3 separate regions of the Mus musculus genome follow, and regions 1 and 3 are each reported to be linked to region 2. Evidence: microRNA targets listed by miRTarBase, many of them from high-throughput screens and not tested one by one. Region 2 holds a microRNA gene; each other region holds the end of a gene's coding sequence.

Region 1 (3,107 bases), not on the chromosome of region 2:
TTCTAGCCGGGGCATTTTGCAGTTCTTGCTTAAGGTATAGCTGCTGCTCACTGTCCCCCAATCACATGGAGGTGTGGCTTATCTCCTTCTTCAGGAAGCGTCCATTCTCCACCCACAGCCGCCTGACCACCCTGCCCCATCCTGCCCCTCACGAATTCTCTCAAACACAAGTGGAAGCACTTCAAGGGTATTCGGACCTTACTGACCAGTTTGCCAACCTGGTCCGGTATCATCTGGTCCAGACACCTAGTGCTAAATTGGTACTTGTAGAACGAATTAACAAAAAGGAAATCGCCAAGCATTGCAATATCGAGTCTGGTGTTATTATTTATTATTATTTTGGTTGAGGCAGAGTCTTAGACTCCTTTGCCCAAGCTGGTCTGGAATTTTCAATCTTCCTGCCTCAGCCTTCCATGAACTGGGATTACAGGCAGGAATTACCACCCACAGTAGATTGTCATATTCTTACATTGCACGATTCTGTGTCTATTTTAACTTTTATTTCTTAATTATTTTTTTATTTACTTTTTTACAAAGGTACAAGGAATTTAAGAAACATTCAAACAATCACTCAAACGGCTTCAGGCACGGTTTCATATGAAAAGCATAGGTCCGTATCTTGATTCCCGTTTCCCTCTGGGATACAACCTCAAGTTTTGTTCTAGGAAGCAGAATTATTGTAGAGCTAAGGTGGGTACAAGCTCATCTCCAAGCGTTCTCCCTCATTCACACAAAGTTCCTGAGTCATCAGAAAGAAAGCTCCCAAGGCAAGAAGGAAGGAGCCGAGGGCGGCTTTGCTGCTTGGGTGGTCACTGTGTCAGGGGGCAGTGTTGCTCCATTAGCCCAAGAACATAAAAACATAATCTTAAAAAAATATGACAAAATCTTCAAAAGAAAAAAAAGATGACAAATATCCCTCTCCCTTGCTATGAAATAATTTAAATAATTTATTCTAGATGTAAAAAAAAACCCAACAGAACAAGAAACAACATATAATTTTGTTCATAGCCACCTGTGACCTGTTCCTGAATGTGAGGTCTGGGTCTGGGTCCCTTACAGTGGGGATAGCTTTTTTTTGAGGGGATGGTGTTGTACAGAGATTTGATGGGAAGCTCACTGGACCCCACCCCTAGCCACACATAAGAGGCAGCCAGTGGTTTTGGGCTGGTGTCTTCACTATGTGGCCCTCCTGCCTTCTGAGCATGGGGTTGGAGCTTTACAGACTGACATGCTGGTCACAAATGAAAGGAGAGAGAGCGCGCCATCCCAGGAGCTCCAGATCCCTGCCATACTCGGGAGCACAAGGAAGGCGAGCATAGCTAGCTCATCGCCGGGCATAGAGTCCCAGTGTAGTGTAGGGATGGAGAATAAACCAAGGAGCACAGGACCCTGGTGTGTGCAGATACCAGCGACGGTGAGTGACGTGGTCGTGTGCGAGTCAGCTTTGTACTGCTTCCATTGCCAACACAGCAGTAGGATGCTAGCTAAAAGCGTCTCCATTCCCATGAACAGAAGCCACTCAGGCAGCTTGTTCAGAGGGCCGTACCCTCCACTGTAGGGTCAGCTTTAGTGGGCAGGTCTGGTCATCAGTATGTGCATCCAGTGGGGTGCTAATGGACGATGTGGGTCAGAACCTGTTAGCCTGGATAGCCCCTGAAATTCTCGCTTGAGCTCCAGCATGACCCTGAGTGATGGGGGAAACTATCTGTCCAGAGGGGAAGGGGGGAGGGGGGAACTCTGTCTGCTTGTCCAGGAGGTATGGGGGAGTGGGTACCTCCTGTGGTAAGCCTTGTCTCAAGTTCTCAGGCACCAGCTAGGCTTGTTTTGCACCAAGAAAGAAAAGAGCCTCAGAACCAGGCACAAGACACACAAGGGAGGGTCGCAGGCTTTCAGACCAGGTGCCATTTTCTCACCCAGTGCAGTGAACCAGAGCCCTTACTGGTGGCTGGCCATGGGGCTTTGCCACATCCAGTGCTGGGCCCCCCTACCTCCCAGAGGACTTTAGATACCCTGGGTGGAAGTCCGTTCCTGCCCTCTTGTAGTCAACAGACATGGACTCAGCTCTGAGGTCTGTGTCCCCACCTATGGGACGATCTACCCACATGTGGCTGATTCTGGTTGGAAGGATGGGTTTGGCTGCCTGCCTGTGGTTTAGAATTGGGCCAAATCTTCACTCTGGGAGGTCATAGCTCCTCACCAACCCTTAAAACCAGAATCCAGCAGAAGGTAGGGTATAATCTAAACCAGCCAGGGCAGGAACTGCAGATTGGAGAAGGCGACAGGAAAGCGGCACCACGTCCCACTGGGATCTCTTTCAGCAACTGAGAGTTTTGTTTTCCTGGTATAAAATATAGAAATAGTGGTTGTTCTCAGTGAATTTCGGCTCGGTGCTGGACCTCTCTCTCTCTCTCTCTCTCTCTCTCTCTCTCTCTCTCTCTCTCTCTCTCTCTCTCCACAGAGCCTATCGGTGTCCCTGAGGGCAAGGGTGGAGGAGAGCACTGCTCAGAGCTGTCCTAAGGCCATCCGCAGGTTTTTGATCTCTAGTTCCAGCTGCTTGGTCTGGACTTCTCTCTGGATTAACAGCTCCCGGAGCCTCCGGATCTCCTCCTGTTGCCGGTAGAACATCTGCAGCAGCTGTGAAGCACAGTGAAGAGGGAGAGGTCATCTGGGTGGCCGGGATAGGCCACAGCACAGAGGCTGAGGCACACACTTCTGACTTGGTGACAGCCGTTAAATTATTAGCAAGGGACAGTCACTTCTGAGCCGTGACGAAAGCCTTGCTTGCTTTACCCAACAGTGAAGTTCCGGTAGCTTGTTTGTATTCTATTTGTCCTTCCCAGATCCCTGAGGGGTAGAGCAAAGGCTCTTTGGACCGGAAGCCTGAAAACTTTTTTTTTTCTTCCCCATCACAGGACTCTATTCAATTTTAACAATGCAGCAGGATCTAGAATCACCTATGGAGTTTCTAGATTGATCCATCCTAACTGTGGGTAGCATTAACAAATGGGATGAGATCCTGGGCTGAAAGCTGAGTGCCAGCATCTATCTCTGTCCGCCTCCAGCTTGTGGATACCATGTAACCCGCTGCCCTAAGCTCCTGCTGCTGC
Region 2 (3,107 bases):
TTCCACTACAGAAAGCTCTTAAGCCAAAGTGGAGAGGGTATGCTAATGGGGAAGGAAAAGCCGAAGGTGGATCTTTAGAACCTGATCAGGCATGAAGGGGAAGGTGTTTTGTGCTCCAAGATCCTAGAGAAGAGAGAGGCTACTTTCTCCCATGGCTTCAGTGAGAGCAGACACAGGGAATCAGGCTCTTATTATCATCTATTGTGACTGGGAAGAGAGCAAGAGCCGCAGTGACTTCTAAGAAAGAAAGTAGGACAACTCTGCAGCCAAGAAGTTGCTGGACCTGGTTTGCTTTCCTCGATGCTTTTCTCTTAAGTGTTTGAGAAAAAAAATCACATTGTGTAGTCAAACAAGGAAAGGCCAGGGTCATCTGCATTCCCTGCCCTGGGATGGGAGCTACAGAGTTCCAAATGACTGCCTCCCAGCTGAGGACTTCATTTCCTGGACTCCCTGTAGGACAGAGAGATCCAAGGAATGATGGGGAAGAGCAACACATAAGCACTTTTCAGGGACACTGCTCTTATATAACATGCAATGTATCTTGGTGACAATTCTAACAATGTGGGGCTAGAGATACACTTTTAACAAAAGTCAGCAGGCTATGAGAGGCTGAAAGTGGCCCACAAACGTGTGTCTTCCATCCTCATCCTAAGAGGGTGTTTGGCTCATTATGTTCTAGCCATCAGCCACTTTCTTCTCAGTTACATGACTCACCATCCTCCCAAGTTCCATCCCCAGTGAAATGGCTTGGCTGGCAGCCTTTCCTGGGGGACAATCTGCCTGTGGATTTTACACCTACAACAATCTGGAGTGGAAGATGCTCACTCCGTGTGTGGCTATAGTCTCAGGTCTCTAGAACCTTCGGGAAACGTAGTTTTGAGAAATGGTGCTTATGAATTTAAAATTATAGTCAGGAAACTCTTTGGCATCTGAGATACCTGGATAATTTTAGAAGATGATGTGATCTGGTGACCGAAGTTGGAGGAAAATAGGAAGCCTAATCATATTCCAAGCTCTTTCACAGTGCTCTGCAATCCAAGTGCAAATAAGTTCCTAAATCTTTTTGCATTGTGTCAAGATATGCATATACTTAATTTACCTACATGCACAACACATGCATGTGTGCATGCCCAGGAACACTCACATGCACTGTCCTTTCAGACTTTTTCTTACAACATAAGGAGATTGCAGTCAGACAGAGAAAACCACAAACTTTGAACAGAAGAAAAGGATGAAGTATGTTATATGCTGCCTTGCAAAGAAGAAAAATCTATTTTTAGACCTTGAATTAGCATTAACAGAAGGCAGAAGTGGGGGATATGCAAGAACAGGAGAAGCAGCAGAAAAGCAGAGAGGGTTTATGAAAGCCTCTGTGTGCCCTCCCGCCCCCCCATACTTCCATCTCTTTTGTCATCCACACCTTGGAGCAGGAAATAAGCCTGCACAGAAGGAGGGTGGAGATCAATAAGAGAGGGATAGGTGGCTGCAATATTTGCCTTGTCTCAATACCAACATTTATTTAGACTTTGTGTTTCATCCTGTTTGTATTCACATCTCCTGAAAATGGACTTCTGGTCTAGAAGAACTTTGATGAGAGGATGCTCTGGGGCATGGGATATGGGCCTGTAAAGAAGTGAGGAAGTGGGTAGTGTGCAGAGTTAAAATGCTGCCCAACTTTCCAGCCAACTCCAGCTCAAACATCTGCTCTAGAGGAGATTTGCCTTCACGTTTGTACCAGTTGAGACCAAAGGGTCAGGCACTGTGGATGAAGCAACCATCTCCATAAACACCCCCTACTAGAGGCAAAAACCTCATAGTCTCCTGAGGCTAACATCAATTTAACTTTCAGGTGACGCCCCTGTTGTGAGCCAGCATCAACTTCAGATCGAGTAGATAGCCTAGAAAAACCTCAGACCTTTGTAGATACCTAGTGTTTCAGATGAAACAGTATCAATGTGGGTTGCCTCTTTACTGTGGAAAACAAGTAGAAAAGAGAAAGCAGAAAGAAGTTCAAGTCAGGATGAGAACCTTTACCTCTTTAGAGTCTATGAGTATTCTGAGGGGCTGAGAGAGGCATTCAGCTTCAGTTTTAAACCTTACTAGCCCCTACACCCCTTCCCACACATAATTTCTTTATTCCTATGACTTATCTACTACCAGGTGAGAATTTAGAACATGTTTATTAACACACATTCTTTCTTTCTTTCCTTTTTTTTTAGTATAAAGTAGAGTTTATTCAGGGCATGGGAAGGAGTTGAGAGGGTAGTAAAGACAGAGAAAGGGAGAGAGAGAGTAGAGGACCAGCCATGAGCACCTGGAGAGAGGGGGAGGGGAATGGGGAGAGAGGAGGAGCATGAAGAAGACGACAGAGTGACAGCAAAAAGGCCAAGAGAGTCATACATTATTTCTTGATTGCCTTTGGGTCAACGAAAATGCCCTTGTACCTTGTCAGTCTAGAGCAACTATGTTTTATTCAAGGGCTACTGTATTAGTTACTATGACCCTATCAATTTACTCTTAAGAGAGCTTTGCATAGTTGGTATGGTGATATGGGATATGGGAAAATAATCTTCTCTACACATATGCTTCTACTCCTGACAACTTCCTAGCTCTGCTTCTTCACAGGCTGTTAGTATTTGTGTAGTTAGGGTCTCTTCTGCACTCAAACTTGAACACGTAGGTCACCTTTACTGTCTAGTCTCTGTTGTATAAATATATTAGATCTGTTTAGTGCAATGTTTGTGAATCCAAGGTCTTCACTTCTAGGACCATTATTGGAAACCCTACCAGCTTTATCAAGTAGAGAACATGCTGACAAAAGAAAGAGCGACTCACAGATGGAAGGAGGATAAGTCTTTGAACAAATGCCTGGTACTTAGGAAGCCACAATACACTACGGTGAATAAAAATTATATTTCTTAGTTGAAGCCACTAACATTAGGAGTTGGTTTCTGATACAAGTAATGATTTTTAAAAAGTGGGAATATGTATATATCACATAGAACAAAGACATGTTCTCTACCAGTCTAGTCTTGGTTTAATCCATGAGGGCTCGCCTCTTGAGTTGTGGGAATACTAATAGTCTATCTTAATATAGATTACTCGGT
Region 3 (3,107 bases), not on the chromosome of region 2:
CGCTCTTACACACTGGTCTTCTGGCTCATCTCTTATCCAGGGAAGCCTTGGGTTCTTTTCCATGACTTGATCTGGCCCAAAGCCATGGAGACCTGTCCAAAAGTGTGGGTCCAAGAGGTGCAGTGGGATTTTTTTTTAATTCATATGAATGGCATCTGTATTCATTTTGAACAATTGTTAGCTCATTACACAAAGATATATTTTCACTCAAATCAGAGTACTTTGGAAGGCTAAAGGGTATTTTAAAAATTATGTTCAATGACAGGTGTTCTCTGGAACTGTTTCAAGCCAAGATATATAGTCAAGCTGTGGGAGATGAATGTCACTGGCCTTATAAGTTGATCGGATGGCTCAAAGAGTGAGAAATGTATTTATCTTTGCAATCCCTGCTTTAATAAGCAGCCTGCTGGCTCTGTTGGATTTCCCAGATAGATTGCACGCAGTTAATTGGGATTTGGGTTTCTGTATACAAGTCCTGATACTCCATATGTTACTGCATGGGCCAGGAGCTCGAGTATCCCACACAACCGCAGTGTCACAGACTTCCTTGTGCCCAAAGTACAAATGTCATACGTTCTTGGCTTTTTCCTCACTCTAACGCTTGGTACTTCTTTCTTCCACTCTCTCCAGAAAACCCTTTTGCTGTGCCTCAGGATGGAGGAGGCTAGACCCAGAGCACCTGGTGCAGCCTCCAAGAGCAGCTTCAACCAAGACACCGGGGAGAGCTGGGGCAGCGGCGTGGTAACGAAAGAGGAAGTACCACCTGTGCCCAGAACCCCCTTCCGTGAACTTCTGAGATTAGGAGCAAACTCAGGGTCCGGGGACAGGGTGCAGGAAAGGGGCTCTGAGCCACCTGTCTGCAAGCAATAGTTCTCTCTGGGGCTGGTGGCTTCTGAGAAGAGACTCCGTGTGGATTGAGGTGACCAACACTAAGCTGCTCTGGCTGATCCCAGCCAGAGGGATTTGGGGCCATGAGTTGTACCATGGTCCAAAACACTGACGTTTCCCCTGCCTCCATCCCCTCCAATAGCGGCCCCCTTAGGCCTATCCGTGTCGGAATATTGAACTTGAGTGTGTGCGCGCACGTGTGTGATCAGGGTGTTTCTATATGTTCAGTCAGTTAGCTTGTCATTGAGCCCCATTGCCACTGGCTGCAGGTTCTCCGATGAGCACAAGTTGCTGTGTGGCTGAGGAGTCTTGCCCGTGTCCTCGTTTGAGGCTCAGGCCTCTTGCTGTGGCCAACAACTGTGAACCAGTGGAGTCGGTAGGCACAGTGCCTAACCTTCCTGTCCATGCCGCAAGCAGTGGGGGACTGGAGCGTACCAGTGACAGGTGGTTCTGGTGGAATCTGTTCCCATGGCAGCTGTATTGAGGAAGCATCTTAACTGGCTGTGTGCGGCCTAGGTTGGATGTGTTGTTGTGTGCACCATCACAGCCCCTAGGAGGTGGGGGTGCTAATGTCATTGGAAAGAGTGCAGCTTGGTGAAGGGTGCCACATTTATATGGCAGGAAGTGATCAACTCCATAGTTTGGCCCCAGAGTGACAAGAACCCAAGCCCAAGTTTTGATTCCCAGGGTGTAACAGGCTCTATAACCCAGGTCCCCCAGTGTGGTCACTGGAGCAGGTGCCTGACATTTTCACAGTGAGTGCAGCACCTCCCCAGCTCAGGTCCTCCACTGTCTTTGCCTGAGCTCACTCTGGCCATGGGCCTGCTGTGCACCAGGCCAGGCAGTGGTAAGGTCCAGAGGTGGGTGGGAGCTGCCACACCTCGAACGGAGGAAACACAGCCACAACGATGGGTCCTATGGAAACCCAGAACAGAGGGTTCTATGAATCTGTCCACTTACAATGGGGGTTTCCAAGTAAGCCTGGGTGCCTGTAACATCTGCCCAAAGAGGTTATCTCTGCCCCAAAACCCACTGCCTGTGGCACCCAAAAGGAAGGACATCCCCCAGAAGTGACCCTGTCAATCTCCAGAGGTCACATTGGCAATGTAGACAGGGCCATCTCACCCCTATGAAGGAGGCCAAACTGTCCCTCCCTGCCCTCAGCCTGTGACCCATTCTTCCTGAAGCTGCATCCTTCCTTGATCAGTGCTGTCCCCACACGGTTGGTGGTCTTCCCTCCCCACACTGCGGAGAACAATAGGCAAAGGCAGCAAGGAAGGAAGGGCCAGCGTGGAGGTGTTCATGAAGACCACAAAGGTCTATCATGGAGGCCGAGTGGGGCTTGGGTGGTCAGAGATGTTTAAGCCGGGGTCTAAACAGGATCTAGCTAAGAGGAGTGAACCTGGGAAAGTTGCAGCCAATCTAGAGGTTCCTGCCTGCCAGGTTCCTAAAAGTAAACAATCCAGGGTGGCCAGGAGCAGCAGAGGTGAAGGGATGGATCCACCTGCGGGTCTCTGTGGTTACCGTAGTGATTCTCTGCAGTCACCATAAGGGCGTCTACACAGTGTGTCACCACTGACAGTGCTGGGTTCTAGGACATAAAACTCTTTCCACTCTGGCAGGTTCTTCATTCTTCAACCCACATGAGGGAGGGATGGCCCCATTTGTAGGCACGGAAGCTGTCACTCTGACGGCTCTAGAGGCCTATTGAGCCTGCTGGCCTCTGTCTCTGCACCCAGTCCATTTCTCTCAGACACACTGCTGGGTTCTGCACACACCCAGGAGAGCCTCTGCATCCATCTTGATTAAAGATGGGTGTGGATCCTCTCCCACATCCTAGGGTGTGGGGCAGCCATTGCCCTGGAGGGTTCTTAGCAGTGGACTGGCTGCATCAGGTCACACTTAACGCCTCAAGAGAGAGCTTCTGTAGGGAAGAGGATTCGGGGGCTATTAAGATAGAGATTCTGATAGCACCTGAGCAAAGTGATCACAGGCCCTCCTGCCTCAGTTTCCCCAGTACTGAGAGGAAGGAGCCCAACCAGATGTTGAGGAGACTTCTGGTTTGGGGTGGCTCTGGGTAACACTCTCGAAGCTGCTTGCACAGGGCTCAGAGCTACTTCCTCTGTGAAGCCTCCTTCCTCAGACACAGGAAGGGTCATGGCCATGCAGACAGCAGGATACTGGGTGTGTGTGTGGGGGGGTGGAGGTCCCCATCAGAG

Evidence for each region. The annotated mature microRNA mmu-miR-1952 reads UCUCCACCCUCCUUCUG and lies in region 2 at 1,445-1,461, opposite strand. An mRNA with a match to its seed (bases 2 to 7 or 8) in the 3' UTR can be bound and repressed. Matches are read on the target gene's strand: a 7mer-m8 pairs with bases 2 to 8, a 7mer-A1 pairs with bases 2 to 7 and ends in A, and an 8mer does both.
Region 1: the mRNA of Coro2a is a reported target of mmu-miR-1952. Seed matches in the 3' UTR shown: 7mer-A1 at 2,450-2,456.
Region 3: the mRNA of Shisal1 is a reported target of mmu-miR-1952. Seed matches in the 3' UTR shown: 7mer-m8 at 3,088-3,094.

The regions. Positions count from the first base shown.
Region 1 is chr4:46,536,634-46,539,740 of GRCm38, forward strand. Coro2a (coronin, actin binding protein 2A) reads right to left here. Exons shown (of 12, transcript NM_001164804.1): 12 at 304-2,634. The coding sequence ends at 2,503. It overlaps Gm16731 (predicted gene, 16731), which reads left to right. Exons shown (of 4, transcript NR_151695.1): 2 at 538-690; 3 at 2,459-2,807; 4 at 2,913-3,107. Among named protein-coding and RNA genes, the nearest start is that of Trim14, 2.0 kb to the left of the region's middle.
Region 2 is chr2:138,818,297-138,821,403 of GRCm38, reverse strand. It overlaps Mir1952 (microRNA 1952), which reads right to left and starts at 1,475; the gene lies at 1,397-1,475.
Region 3 is chr15:84,381,916-84,385,022 of GRCm38, reverse strand. Shisal1 (shisa like 1) reads left to right here. Exons shown (of 5, transcript NM_001374162.1): 5 at 631-3,107. The coding sequence ends at 631. Among named protein-coding and RNA genes, the nearest start is that of Gm46527, 47 kb to the left of the region's middle.